3 linked regions of the Cricetulus griseus genome follow. The protein of the gene in region 1 interacts with the protein of each later gene in a pairwise test. Links are inferred from orthologs where the notes say so. Each region holds a gene or a part of one and is shown in the gene's direction. Other genes may lie near its edges.

What was found.
Region 2: the proteins of Fam131c (region 1) and Vsnl1 interact in binary tests that used the Homo sapiens proteins (3 or more experiments, as listed by UniProt). The two-hybrid records come from large-scale screens. The link is inferred for Cricetulus griseus from reciprocal best matches to the Homo sapiens genes FAM131C and VSNL1.
Region 3: the proteins of Fam131c (region 1) and Hpcal4 interact in binary tests that used the Homo sapiens proteins (3 or more experiments, as listed by UniProt). The two-hybrid records come from large-scale screens. The link is inferred for Cricetulus griseus from reciprocal best matches to the Homo sapiens genes FAM131C and HPCAL4.

Annotation. Positions count from the first base shown.
Region 1 is NC_048595.1:11,885,800-11,890,095, reverse strand, and holds the start of Fam131c (protein FAM131C), read left to right. Parts: upstream 1-1,467; coding exon 1,468-1,489; intron 1,490-4,296.
Region 2 is NC_048600.1:21,347,980-21,352,054, reverse strand, and holds the start of Vsnl1 (visinin-like protein 1), read left to right. Parts: upstream 1-1,240; 5' UTR 1,241-1,357; intron 1,358-3,690; 5' UTR 3,691-3,695; coding exon 3,696-3,857; intron 3,858-4,075.
Region 3 is NC_048595.1:29,808,491-29,812,492, reverse strand, and holds the start of Hpcal4 (hippocalcin-like protein 4), read left to right. Parts: upstream 1-1,170; coding exon 1,171-1,332; intron 1,333-1,469; coding exon 1,470-1,685; intron 1,686-3,975; coding exon 3,976-4,002. UniProt on the Homo sapiens protein: May be involved in the calcium-dependent regulation of rhodopsin phosphorylation.

The DNA of each region.
Region 1 (4,296 bases):
ATTGCCTCATAACCCATGCACAACCTTCCATACACTTTATTTTCTCATCCTTTTCTTTTTCAAGGCAGGATCCCATGTAGCCCAGGCTGACCTTGAACTCACTATATAACCAAGGATAACCTTGAACTTCTGATTCTCCTCTTTCTACCTCCCCAGAGCTGGCATTATAGGAGTGACATCACCCCTGCTCCCATGCACTGTACGTCCAACTGTGTCAGGATTATTTGCGATGCCCCATGTCTGATAAATGCGGTCGTTCTGCGTTGTGTTTGGAGCAGTGATGACCACATATGTTCCTTCCAGACTCAATTGTGTGTTTAAGTAACACGGTTTATCTGAGCTGGATAAACCTACATCTGATAACAGCAGGGCCAGAACAGAGCCATCTCTCCTCGGACTTTCCTCAAGAGCTCAACTGCGCAGCCCTGAGCAGACCCCCCAGGCTTGGCTTTTGCTCTGCACAGGGCCTTCAGCCCCCACCCAGAACCTTGTTTTAAGCCCTCCCCACCCCTCAGGGCTGGCTCTAGTGACCCATGCTGGGTAAACAGATCCAGTGACCCCTCTGCCCAAGGATGGAGTGAGATGAAATTTGCCTCAGATACGGGGAGCCTGGCAACGTTTGCCAAGGAGTGGCTGGTCACTCTGAAATCCTGAATGGGCGCATGTGACTGCACACAAGAGTGTATGTGTGAGCTGTGGAGACCGTATGTGCAGGAGGGTGTGTGCATGAGCCCTCTATCCAGCCAGGAGGCCACTATATCCTGGTCCTCCCTCAGAACGCTCATCCTGGGCCAGCATCCTCCTATGCACAGGTGACTATTAAAAAACTCTGACTTGGGGGAGGTGGCTCAGCCGGTAAAGGCACTTTCCGGGAAGTATGACCACCCGAGTTTGGTTCCTAGGATCCATATAGTGGAAGGAAATAGCCTCCCCATAGACTCCCCCAAGTGTCATTTGATCTCCATACTCATGCTGTGGCGCGCGCACGCGGACACACACACACACACACACACACACACACACACACACACCAAGTCTCCATCCTCAGTGTGCACAGTGGGATGAGATTCCTCCTTGCAGAATTCCCCGGTCCCAGCCCCCTCCCCTGACCTTGAGCTCCAGACAGCAGGTGCGGCTCAGGTCTGAGGCTAGAAGTCTTCCTTACAGGGCCGAGTCCAGGTTACCCCGGGCTGCGACAACAGGTGCACAGGCACGGAGGGGGCGGGGCGCACCCCAGCACCGCCCTCCGCGCTCCCTGGGTCCCCCCCACCCCCACCCGCAGCGGCGTCGCCCGGTCCTGGCAGCTGCGGGCGCGGCGCGAGGCGAGGCGAGGCGATCGGGACGCGACAGCGGGGACGACGACCCAGGCGCTAGCGGAGGCCGAGCCGAGCAGCCCCGGCCGCGGAGACATGAGCGCGCGGCCGCCCGCCGCACCCGGGCGCAGTGGCCCGGCCCCGCCGCCCCGTGATGGGCTCCTGCGTGTCGCGAGGTGAGGACCCAGCGGCCCGGGACGCGGCGAGGGGCGGGGGTACCAGCACGCGGCCCCGGGGACGCCCAGGGTGGGTGTCCGCCCTTCACGGACCAGTAGCGCCCCAGGGGACGCGTGCTCCGTTGGGACCGGGCTCGGCAGGAGAGCGGGCAGCGTGCAGAGCGCGGAGCGGGCGGAGGTCTCCACACCCCACGCCCCACTCGGCACCCGGCAGGTGGCATGAAGCAAGGTCCCCGGTGCCATGCTTTCTTCCCTGCAGCCACACGCCTCCTGCAGTGTGCCTGGGAAGGGAGGGCGGCTTCCGGTTCTTTTGGTCCTCTTACGGGCCACTGAGCTCCAGGAAGATAGCAGACCTCGCTCCTGCTCCCCAAGACGCAGGCCTTCCTAGCCCGGGATCCCGTTCCCTCCCGGTGCCTCTGTCCTCAGCCCTAGAAACCCCTTGGGGGGTCAGGAGGGACGAACAGGTTATCAAGGTTGGCTTTGCCCCACCCTCATCCCTAACTCCATCCCCACCTCCATCTCTGCCCAGGGGACAGGAGTGGAGAGAGGACAGTTGATGTTCCCAGTAACCCCTGGGCCTTTGTCTCTGACCTGGCACCTTGGTTGTCCCCAAGGTGATTCCAGGGAACGAGAGTGACTCTATCTGTTGGCGCGCGCCGCGCGGAGTGGGGGGTGGGGTGGGGGGCGGTACCTGTCTGTGAATGCGAGTGTAGGGTCTTTCACGGAGGCTGGGGGAGGGGCATATTTGTCTTTGGGGTAATCTTTTAGAAAAGAGGTTGGAAGGTGTCGGGACATGCCTGTAATCTCAGGAGTGCAAGATCCAGAGTTCAAGGCCAGCACCCACAGCACAGTTTGTGGCCAACCTGGGCTACATGAGACCTTGTGTCAAAGCAAAACAACGCCCCCCACCAAAAAAAAGGTTGGGCCATTGTCCCACTTGGGACTCTTACCCTTCGTGGGAGCAGGGGGCAGACTGGGAGTGAGAGTGTAGAGACCAAGTCTCCTCACCCAAGGTCTTAGAAGATTCCACTGGCCGCTCCAGAAATTTACACAGCAGAGAAGGATAAACTGGTCTGAGAGGGGGCTGGGCAGGCCCTAGAGGGAACCTTGGTCTGGGGAATGTTGAAAAACCATTCCTCCCCCTTCCTCTGCACTCTGAGGGAGTTCTGTCCCAAGTTCATGGAATAGTATTCGGGCAGGTGACTCAGGTCCCTGGAAGGTGTCAGCAGTGGGGTCATGGGTGGGGGAGGGGAAGAGCAGGGTCAGTCTGTGTGAAGTTGGTTCAGACTGACTGATGGTAACATAGCAGGGCTACCTACTGGGTGTCCTCCACTGTGTTAGAAGAAGTGTGGTCCTGTACGACCTGAGGAACCCAGCATACCCCGGCCTGTGAAGCTCGGTGGAGTGTAAGGATGGGTCTCTCAACTCTAGGCTCTCAGAGTCGGAGCCTCCCCAGAAACCCTGCAGTCTCCCTTGGCCGGAGTTCTAGCAGTTAGGTATCTAGATGTTTCCTTAGTGACAGGTCCCTTGGTCAACCCATGCTCACAGCTGTGGGATTCCAGCCCCGAGTGCACCTGCCTGGGAGCACAGGCTCCACAGAGTACAGGACAGAGGCCAGACAGACAGCAGGGACGCCTGCCAAGGTCACACTATGAGGTGGAGACCTGGGTGTCCCATCTCCCATACTCCCTCCACGACCCCTCAGCCAGGGCTGTCGAGGTCACACTGGCTGAGACAGTCACTCTCCACCCTTCCTCCTGCATCCTGAGTGCCACCCCAAGATCAGGCTGCATTTTCTAACCCTCTCCCCATCCGGAGAGGACAGAGCCTGACAGTCTCAACATGTACTCCAGCAACTTAGAAGTGAGAGGTATGAGCTGGGTGCTGGTGGAACACTCCTTTAATCCCAGCACATGGGAGGCAGAGGCAGGAGGCTGTCTGTGAGTTCGAGGCCAGCCTGATCGTCATCCTCAGCACCCTTGGCCTTGTGGGTCGTCTCAGGCTTCCGTGGCCTCCTTGGTCCTCTGCACACCTGGACCACTTGTTGGCCATAGTCCCCACCTGCCAAGGGTTAGCATGGGCCATGTTCAGAGCCTGTAGTAGAGGTCAGGGGTCATGAACTTGGCACTGATGCCTCACAGAGCCTGGAGCCTGCAACCAACTGGGACTACCCAGTTCCTCCTACTCCAGGTGCAGGCGACACCTGGGAGATCTGGGGGATCAGGAGACCCGTCTGCAGTCCCTGACCCACTGTCCCCAAGTGTGTGAGCTCACCAAGTTGAGTGGGGATGGTAATAGAGTGGGAGTATAACATGGGGTCGAGAGGGTCTCAGTGCAAAGACCACCCCACCGTCAGTGCTGGCACCGCCAACATTCAATAGCCACTCCTCTCATGGGCTGGTGCATCCTACAGACAATTGCTCCAGGCCTTCTTGGTGGTAAAGGGGACTCCTCGTGCCTCTGAGGGAGCAGTAGGTGCCAGGCATTTGCGTTGAGGACAGTGAGATACTGGCCATACACACTGCATCTAGGAACTATTTTGTATTCCGTATCTATTTGTATTTTTCAGCATTTCTTGTTTATTGGTTTTCGAGACAGGGGTCTTATTCTGTAGTCCTGGCTGGCATTGAACTCAAGGTCATCCTCCTGCTTCTCCCAAATGCTAGAATTTCATGTTGGGGCCACCACATCTGCCCCAGTTATCTTTTTTTTTTTCTTGTTTAAATAGGGTCTCCAATAGCCCAGGCTAACCGTGAACTTGCTGTGTAGCTGAGGATGACCTTGAACTTCTGATCCCTTTTGCCTCT
Region 2 (4,075 bases), on another chromosome or scaffold:
GATAAGAAAGCTTACTTGGCTCATGCCACTGTGGCCCAGAATGAGAGGTCCATGATTCAGAAGCATCAAGCCATCTCCGCCCATTCATTTAAAAACCTTGCCATGCACCATCTTTCTATCAGCCCCCAAGGATTCTGAGGTGAAAGACAGACTCTGCCTTCAAGGTATTCAGAAGTAATGAATGAGAACAGACAGGTAAGCCATCTTTAGCAGGACAGGCTATTTTCCACATAGTTAAGCAAAACATATCTGCCATCTGTGGGCTGTATCTCAGACTTAAGAGTCCATCAACCCTCTTCATATCGAGATAATGAGACTGATTTCCCTGGGAAAATGCATATCAAATATGTGAGTCCACCTTACTACTCATTCCCTCAAAATGTGTTTGTGGAACATCTAATAGAAATTACCAAGGACGGAAAGACAGTCATCCCTCATTCTCTTGGTCTCTGTGTATCTCTCTGTCTCTGTCTCTCCCTCCCTCTCTCTCACAAAAAAAGAGAAAGAAAGAAAAAAGGAAGGAAGGAAGGAAGGAAGGAAGGAAGGAGAGAGGGAAGGAAGGAGAGAGGGAGGAATGGAGGGAGGGAGGAAAGAAGAAAAAAACTCCAGTAGGAAAATAAGGACACCGTGGAAGCTCTACCAAGAGAGGAGAGACCTATGATGAAGGATCGCTCCACCATGAAGATCTTACCGAGGAGGTCAGATGTGAACTGGGGTTATGTAGGCAGACAGGAAGGAATTGGCTAAGATGACAAAGGGAACATCATCCTAGAGAACTTGGAGGTCTGCAACGTGCAAGCTCTGAAACTTATAACTGCTCATTATTGTTACCATATGGAGTAAAACAACAGACAGGAAGAAAGTGAGGCTACTTAGCAAACAGCAGAATATGTGCCATGCTCAGGAGGTGGCGCCGTGTGCTGTGGACAAGGGGGCAGTGCTGAGGTTTGAAGAGACAAGTCCAGTGGTAGGGTTGGTGGCTCAAAACTGTACTCATGCAGCTATGCCCTGTGGGTTAGGATAGAACCCGGGGAGTGAGGAAGAAGGAGAGCCTGGTGAAGTCTGGCCTGGTGGGGGTGGGGGTGGCACAGAGGCACAATCACTGAAACAGGCCATAACAGGACTTTGTACATGATCTACCCACTCTGGGCACACCTGAGCAATAACATTGACTGTGACTGTAACCAAAAGGCATGAAGTTATGCACTTGGTTCTCCAGAATTATGACTCATAGCCCTGACAATGCCTCTTGTGTGTGAGAGAGACATTCATCCTCTCTCAGCCAGTGGGAACAGCTTGAGGCATCGCAAATGATCCATGGAGAATCTGCTTTTTCTACACTGCTGAATTTCTACAGGTATTTGGGGAGTGGTTTCTCATAACTTTTAACCTATTTCTTATGATTAATTACTATATATGTGCCAAGTGTGATTTTGGTAAGTTTTTCTCTAATGAGCCAGCCAATCCAGCAATGTGACCCATCTCTCTGTTTTTCCTTTTTCAACATGAGTCAGATCTCTCTGACCCTCCAACTTTTGCTCCTCCTCTTCTGATCCAGAGATGCTTCCATCCTCTTGTGTATCTCTGCTGATGCAGTTTAGTCTTGTAAATCCAGTTTCAAACCCTAGCTTTGCATTTCCTTGGTTGTGTGATCTTGTAGAAGTTACCACAGTGTTCTGAGTCTCGGGGAGATGTCCTGGTCCCTGTTGAAGTATGTGAAGTGCTCCATCTAAGGCAGTGATTCTTAATCTTCCTACTGCTGCGACCCTTTAATACAGCTCCTCATGTTGTGGTGACCTCCATCCATAAATCTATTTCTATTGTTACTTCATAACTGTAACTTTGCTACTATTATGAATCACAAGGTAAATATCTATGTTTTCTGGTGGTCTTAGGTGACCCCTAAGAAAGGGTCATTAGACCTCTAAGGGGATTGCATCCCATAGGTTGAGAACCACTGATCTACGGCTTTCTCCAAGCCAACATAATATATTCAGTACTTACTGCTGTGAGGTGGGATTCTAAATAAGGAAAATCGATGCCTCTCTATCAAAAGTAACAAAGTAACAGCCTGAAAGTTTTGGCGGCCCATCTTTTGATTCTGAGGCTAACAGTGAATTACAGTTTTCTTACCCAGATTAATTAAATCTCACACCTGAGTACCCACTCATTTCCACATCCAGCTGTGGAATGCCACAGTAACTTATAATTAAGAGACAGTTGCTAATAAAAGACTTTGAAGTGAAATTCAGAGCAGAAGTGAACAAAAGACTCCCGATACAGGGCAGAGTTGCTGATCCCAGAGCACCTTGGTCAAACAGAGGAGCTTGGAAAATAACTAGCCACCATAAGGTGTCCTCGGAATGGCTCCGTGCTGCTGGGGTGATGCCAGGATGGAAACTTTCCTGGAAGTAATGAGCAGGGTTTGCTTTCATTATAGTGAAATGCCTGGTCTATGTTGGAGCAGGTTACTGATAAAGGATGCAGGAGCTGCTTTAGGAAGAGATTAAAATAATTACAATAGCGAAGTATAAGATGGCATTTTCCCCTCAGGGCTGTTGCAAGTATAGACCTGCTTAAAATGCATGGAATAACTGATCCACTTGAGTTCATTCTTTAAAACCTAAATCACCCTGCTAGTTACATCTCTCAAACATCTTCTGGGACTGTTCTTCTCAAGTGTCCTCAGATTGTCATGAATTTTTTTCAGTCACTCTGGAGTTTATTGGCCACAGTTTAATGATTTTTATTATACTAAAATGACATTAAAAGGATTTTAAAATGTTAATAATCTAGCAAAAGTACAACTATTTTAATCTCAAGTTATTCTTTTTCGTCTTCACCTATGTATTTCTTAATTAAGCATCCGGTAAAGCTGGATCCTGTTACATCTGCTAATTTATTTTATGAAGCAATTGAAAGAGGACAATAATTAATATTTATGTATCTAGCACACATAGATACTTACAAATCCAGGAGGCAATCTGGAGATTCTAAACCTGAGCTGTCCTCCTACTCTATGCTCTGCTGTGACCATGCAATTTACAGTTCATGTAGGAGACATGACTTCATGCACTGATATTTTAACTTTGAATGATTAAATGTGACAGGATGAAATATAGTTGATGAAAATTCACTAACCAATCTTTAGGGAAAGTCAACACTGAAGATAGGGAATGTCTAGAAATTAGAAGAGTATGAATTGATGTGACTAATAAAAATGTTTTCATTCAATTAAAAAAAAATCCAGGACTTGGGAACTAGACCAACCAAGACACTACAATAGATGGTCAGGTTTTTAAACTTTTGGTTATAAAGTCTTCCCATGGGTCTTGTCCATATCTCTCCCAATATCCATGCAAGTTAAGTGTAAAATTAGATGCTTAGGTATCAAGTACCAGTGAACTGTAACTCAAAAGAGTAGACAACAAGCTTCCATATACCTGTGATGAACATCAAGTAAAATGGCTCTCTGGTTTCCATGGAAGAATCAATGCCTTGTGACAGGTGACACAATGACAGGGAGCTGCACAGACTGCAGGCTCCTCCAAAGGGGTTTTCCTGTTCCTGTCTATTCTGGAATACTAAGTGGAAGAAGGATGCAGACTCAGGGAGGCTGGGATCAGACAGGCAGAAGTGAGTTCTGGCCACTGTGCTGACTACGTCAATGTGGTTTGTGGTTTTCTGCAGGCACAATGGGGAAACAGAATAGCAAACTGGCCCCCGAAGTCATGGAGGACCTGGTGAAGAGCACCGAATTCAACGAGCATGAGCTCAAGCAGTGGTACAAGGGGTTCCTCAAAGACTGTCCAAGCGGGAGGCTGAATCTTGAGGAGTTCCAGCAGCTGTACGTGAAGGTACGAAATTCCCTCTGCTTCTCATCTCCAATGATATCTGGCTAGCTGCAATTCTGGTGGTGTTTCATTCTAACTTTTAAATCACTGTTTTTGATGCAGAGGTGTGTGTGTGTGTGTGTGTGTGTGTGTGTGTGTGTGTGTGTGTGTACACATGCATGTGTGTATGTGTGTGTGAAGCAATTTCTGAACAAGAAAACTAGTTATTAAAATATTGAGTA
Region 3 (4,002 bases), about 18 Mb from region 1:
GGAAGAGCAGCAAGTGCTCTTAACCACTAAGCCCTCTTTTCCAGCCCTACCCTCAAGTCATCTTGCACATTGCAGCTAAAGGAAAATTTCAAAAATCTCTGGATTTCCAGGACATAGATCAGGACCTGGCATATTGTGAGTGCTCTGTGTTAGGAAATGAATGTTAGCTTCCAAACTCTTTGCTTTAAAATCTCCAGGTTGGCTGGGCAGTGGTGGCGCACGCCTTTAATTCTGGTACTGGGGAGGCAAAGACAGGAGGATTTCTGTGAGTTTAAGGCCAGCCTAGTCTACTGAGTGAGTTCCAGGACAGCTCCAAATCTACAAAGAAACCCAGTCTTGAAAAGCAAACAAACAAACAAATAACCTCCAGGTTGTCGTGGATTGAAGGCTTTTTGCAGACAGTCATCTATCTCTAGAAACCTTGCATGAGCTACTGAAGGCTGGCTCATCTTGGCTTTATCTTCATACCAAGTCCAGGTCTCCAACAAATTCTCAGGGAGTGAATGGGTTAATGAAAAGCAAAGTGTGATGGGGTCAACACCGTTCCAGTCTAGGCCTTCTACTCGTTCTCAGGAAGGAAGGAAAGAGAGATGCTTCCTGTGTGGGGCTCCCAGGAAAGCCTGGAGGAAGAACTTGGGAAATGGTTCCTGGGGGACTTTGATAGAAGAGGAGTCTGCCCAGGAGGGAGGGTGCTGAATGCAGCCAGCCCTTGCTAGCAGGGAGATTAGTTGAGGCTTTATGCTAGGGACTAAGGGAATGATGAATAATGGGTGAAGTGAGGGTGAAGACTGGGCCATACTGTGTCACAAGTCACCAAGGGGATCAGTCGCCACCAGGAAAGGCTGGAAATGTCCTCCAGAGGGGTCTGCTCTGGGGTGCCCCGTATTGTGAGGGGAGAGGGAGCCCACTGCCCAATGAAAGCAGGCTTCCTTTGAGAAGGGATGAGTGCATGTTGAGGGTGTTGAAGGAAGGTGGAGCTTGCTGAAGTGGTTGGCCAGGGAAGGGGGCACTGTTGTGGGGAGAGGGGTACTGACTTTAGGAAGAAGGGCTCCTCCTGGGAGGGGACTGTGAAGAAAGGTCCAAGTGGAACAAGGGTGGAGAACCACTTTACAGAGGTGAGGTCCTAGCCTGGGGCCATGTTGAGCAAGCTCTCTGTCCTGCAGGCCCACCATGGGGAAAAACAACAGCAAGCTGGCCCCCGAGGTACTGGAAGACCTGGTCCAGAACACAGAGTTCAGCGAGCAGGAGCTAAAGCAGTGGTATAAGGGGTTCCTGAAGGACTGTCCCAGCGGCATCCTCAACCTGGAGGAGTTTCAGCAGCTCTACATCAAGGTGCAGGGTGGAGCATGGCATGGCGGGGTGGACGGGTACTGGGGACCTGATTGAGAGCTGGTGGAACTCAGAAGGATGTGGTCGGCAGGGAGGGTGGGTCTGTCGCTGCGCCCCAATAACCCGTACCCCTGCCTCAGTTCTTCCCTTACGGAGACGCCTCCAAGTTTGCACAGCATGCTTTCCGCACCTTCGACAAGAACGGCGATGGCACCATTGACTTCCGGGAGTTCATCTGCGCCCTTTCTGTCACCTCCCGTGGCAGCTTCGAGCAGAAGCTCAACTGGGCCTTTGAGATGTACGACCTGGACGGCGACGGGCGCATCACGCGCCTGGAGATGCTGGAGATCATCGAGGTGCGGGGGCCCAGGGTGGGCGTCCAGTGTCCTTGAGCCTCAGGAGACTCGTAGCTGCTCCCCAGTGTTCTCCCACCACAGTCTGCAGACCCCTTGCTCAATGCTTATCCCGTGGGGTAGATAGTGTCAGATACCCCATTTTCCCAGATGAACAAAGGGAGCATGTGGCAGCCAACAGTCAATCAAATCTAGAGTAGCCAAGTCAATTCATTTTGCTTTTTCAAGAAGTTAATTATTGAGGTCAGGAGAGATGGCTCAGCATGTAAAGGTGCTTGCTGCCAGGTCTCACTACCCGGCTTTAACCCTGTGACCCTACATAGTAGAAGGAGAGAACCAATTCCTACACGTTTGTCCTTTGACCTCTGTCTGATCTCAGCCAGGCCATGTTTCTTGCTCTGTGTAGCTTTGGAGCGTGTCCTGGAACTCCCTCTGTAGACGGCTGGCCTCGAACTCATAAAGATCCACCTGCCTCTGAGTCCCGAGTGCTGGGATTTAAAATGTGTGCCACCACAGCCTGGCTTTTTTTGTTTGTTTGTTTCGTAGTTTTGCTTTTAAAAAACATCTTAAGTGTCTGCCGTGTGCTTTCATAGGAGACCCTTCTAGTAAGTCAGTAAGTAAATTTGGGCCATGCCAGGCAGTAATTGGTGTGAAAACAGAGATAAGCAAAGTAGAGGAAGGAAGAGGGCGGCACGAACTCTCAGGTCCCCAGAGTGAACCACCATGCAGGTGAGGTTGTGTTCACCTGGCTCACAGTGTGGCAGGAGGCCAGGGCAGTAGTGGAGGTGTGAGCAGAGGGGAGAATGGCAGGAAGATGGTCCCACAGGGAGACAGGGGTCCCGTCAGTGGCTCAGGCTAGGGTAGAGGCATTGAGTGTATTCTGAGTGTTGAGATCAGATAATTGAGGAGATGGTGGGCAGAAGGGGCAGTCGGACCAGTAAGGAGACTTCCACAAAAATCCAGTCAGGACTGTTGGAAGCTGCCTTCATGCATGAACTGTGGAAATGGTGGAAAGCAAGTCAACATAGGGCCGTTACAAAATTAGAGTTGACATTTTTTGCCGAAGGAGTGTGTGTGTGTGTGTGTGTGTGTGTGTGTGTGTGTGTGTGAGAGAGAGAGAGAGAGAGAGAGAGAGAGAGAGAGAGAGAGAGAGGAGAGAAGAATGACGTGAGAACTGAGCGGCACACCTCTGTAATCCCAGCACTCAAGAAGCTGAGGCAGAAGGATGGTGAGTTCAAGACTAAGCTGAGCAACATATTGAGTTCCAAGCCAGTCTGGGCTACTGGTGAAACATTGTCTCAACAAATTTAACAAATGATGGTTTAGGGTTTTGTTTTGTTTTTGCTTTCAATTTGGCAGAGTGGAGTTGTTACTTGTTGAGGTGGAATTCTAGAGGTACGGCAGGTGAGAAGTGGGTTAAAGAGTTGAGTTTGAGGCATGAGTCATTTGAGTGCTCATTAGGTAGACAGTCTTTTTTTTTAATTAATTGGGTGTGTTGGTGCACACCTTTTTCTTTTTAAAACAATTTTATTTAACATACCAATCCCAGTTCCCTCTCCCTCCCATCCTTCCACTTCCCCCCCCATCTCCCCATCCCACCCCCCATCCACTCCTCAGAGGGTGAGGCCTCAAGTGGGGAATCATCAAAGTCTGTCACATCACACCCTCACATACTCTCACCCGCCCTGTATCTAAGCTGACCAAGGTATCCCTCCATAGGGAATGGGCTCCAAAAAGCCAGGTCGAGCACTAGGAATTGGTGCACAGCTTTAATTCCAGCACTCAGTGGGCAGAGGGAGGTGAATCTCTGTGAATTCAAAGCCAGCATGGTTTACATAGTGAGTTCAAAGCCAGCCTTGTCTACATAGCAAGTTCCAGGCCATTCAGAATCACATGATGGGTAAAGAAATGTGTGCGTGCGTGCGTGCGTGCGTGCGTGTGTCTGTGTGTGTGTGTGTGTGTGCACGCATACTCGCGTGCATGAGTGATATGGAGGGTTACATTTCCACAGTGTCATGTGAGGTCAGAGAACAACTTTGTGGAGTCAGTTCTTTCCTTCCACATTTATGTGGGTTCTGGAGAACAAACTCAGGTCTTCAGGCTTGTGCAGCAAGCTGCTTCCAGTTCAGCCCTCCAGCCAGCCCTAAAAAGCCAGTCTTAACAACATGTCTCTTTCTAGTGTTTTCACCGTCCTCCAGTATCTTCTCAGTCCACTCCCAGACAGACCCCCTTTTATCCATCCTCAGCCCTCCCTGCCAGTTGGGTGTTCACACCTCTGTCATTGCTCCACCAGGCTATCTATAAAATGGTGGGCACCGTG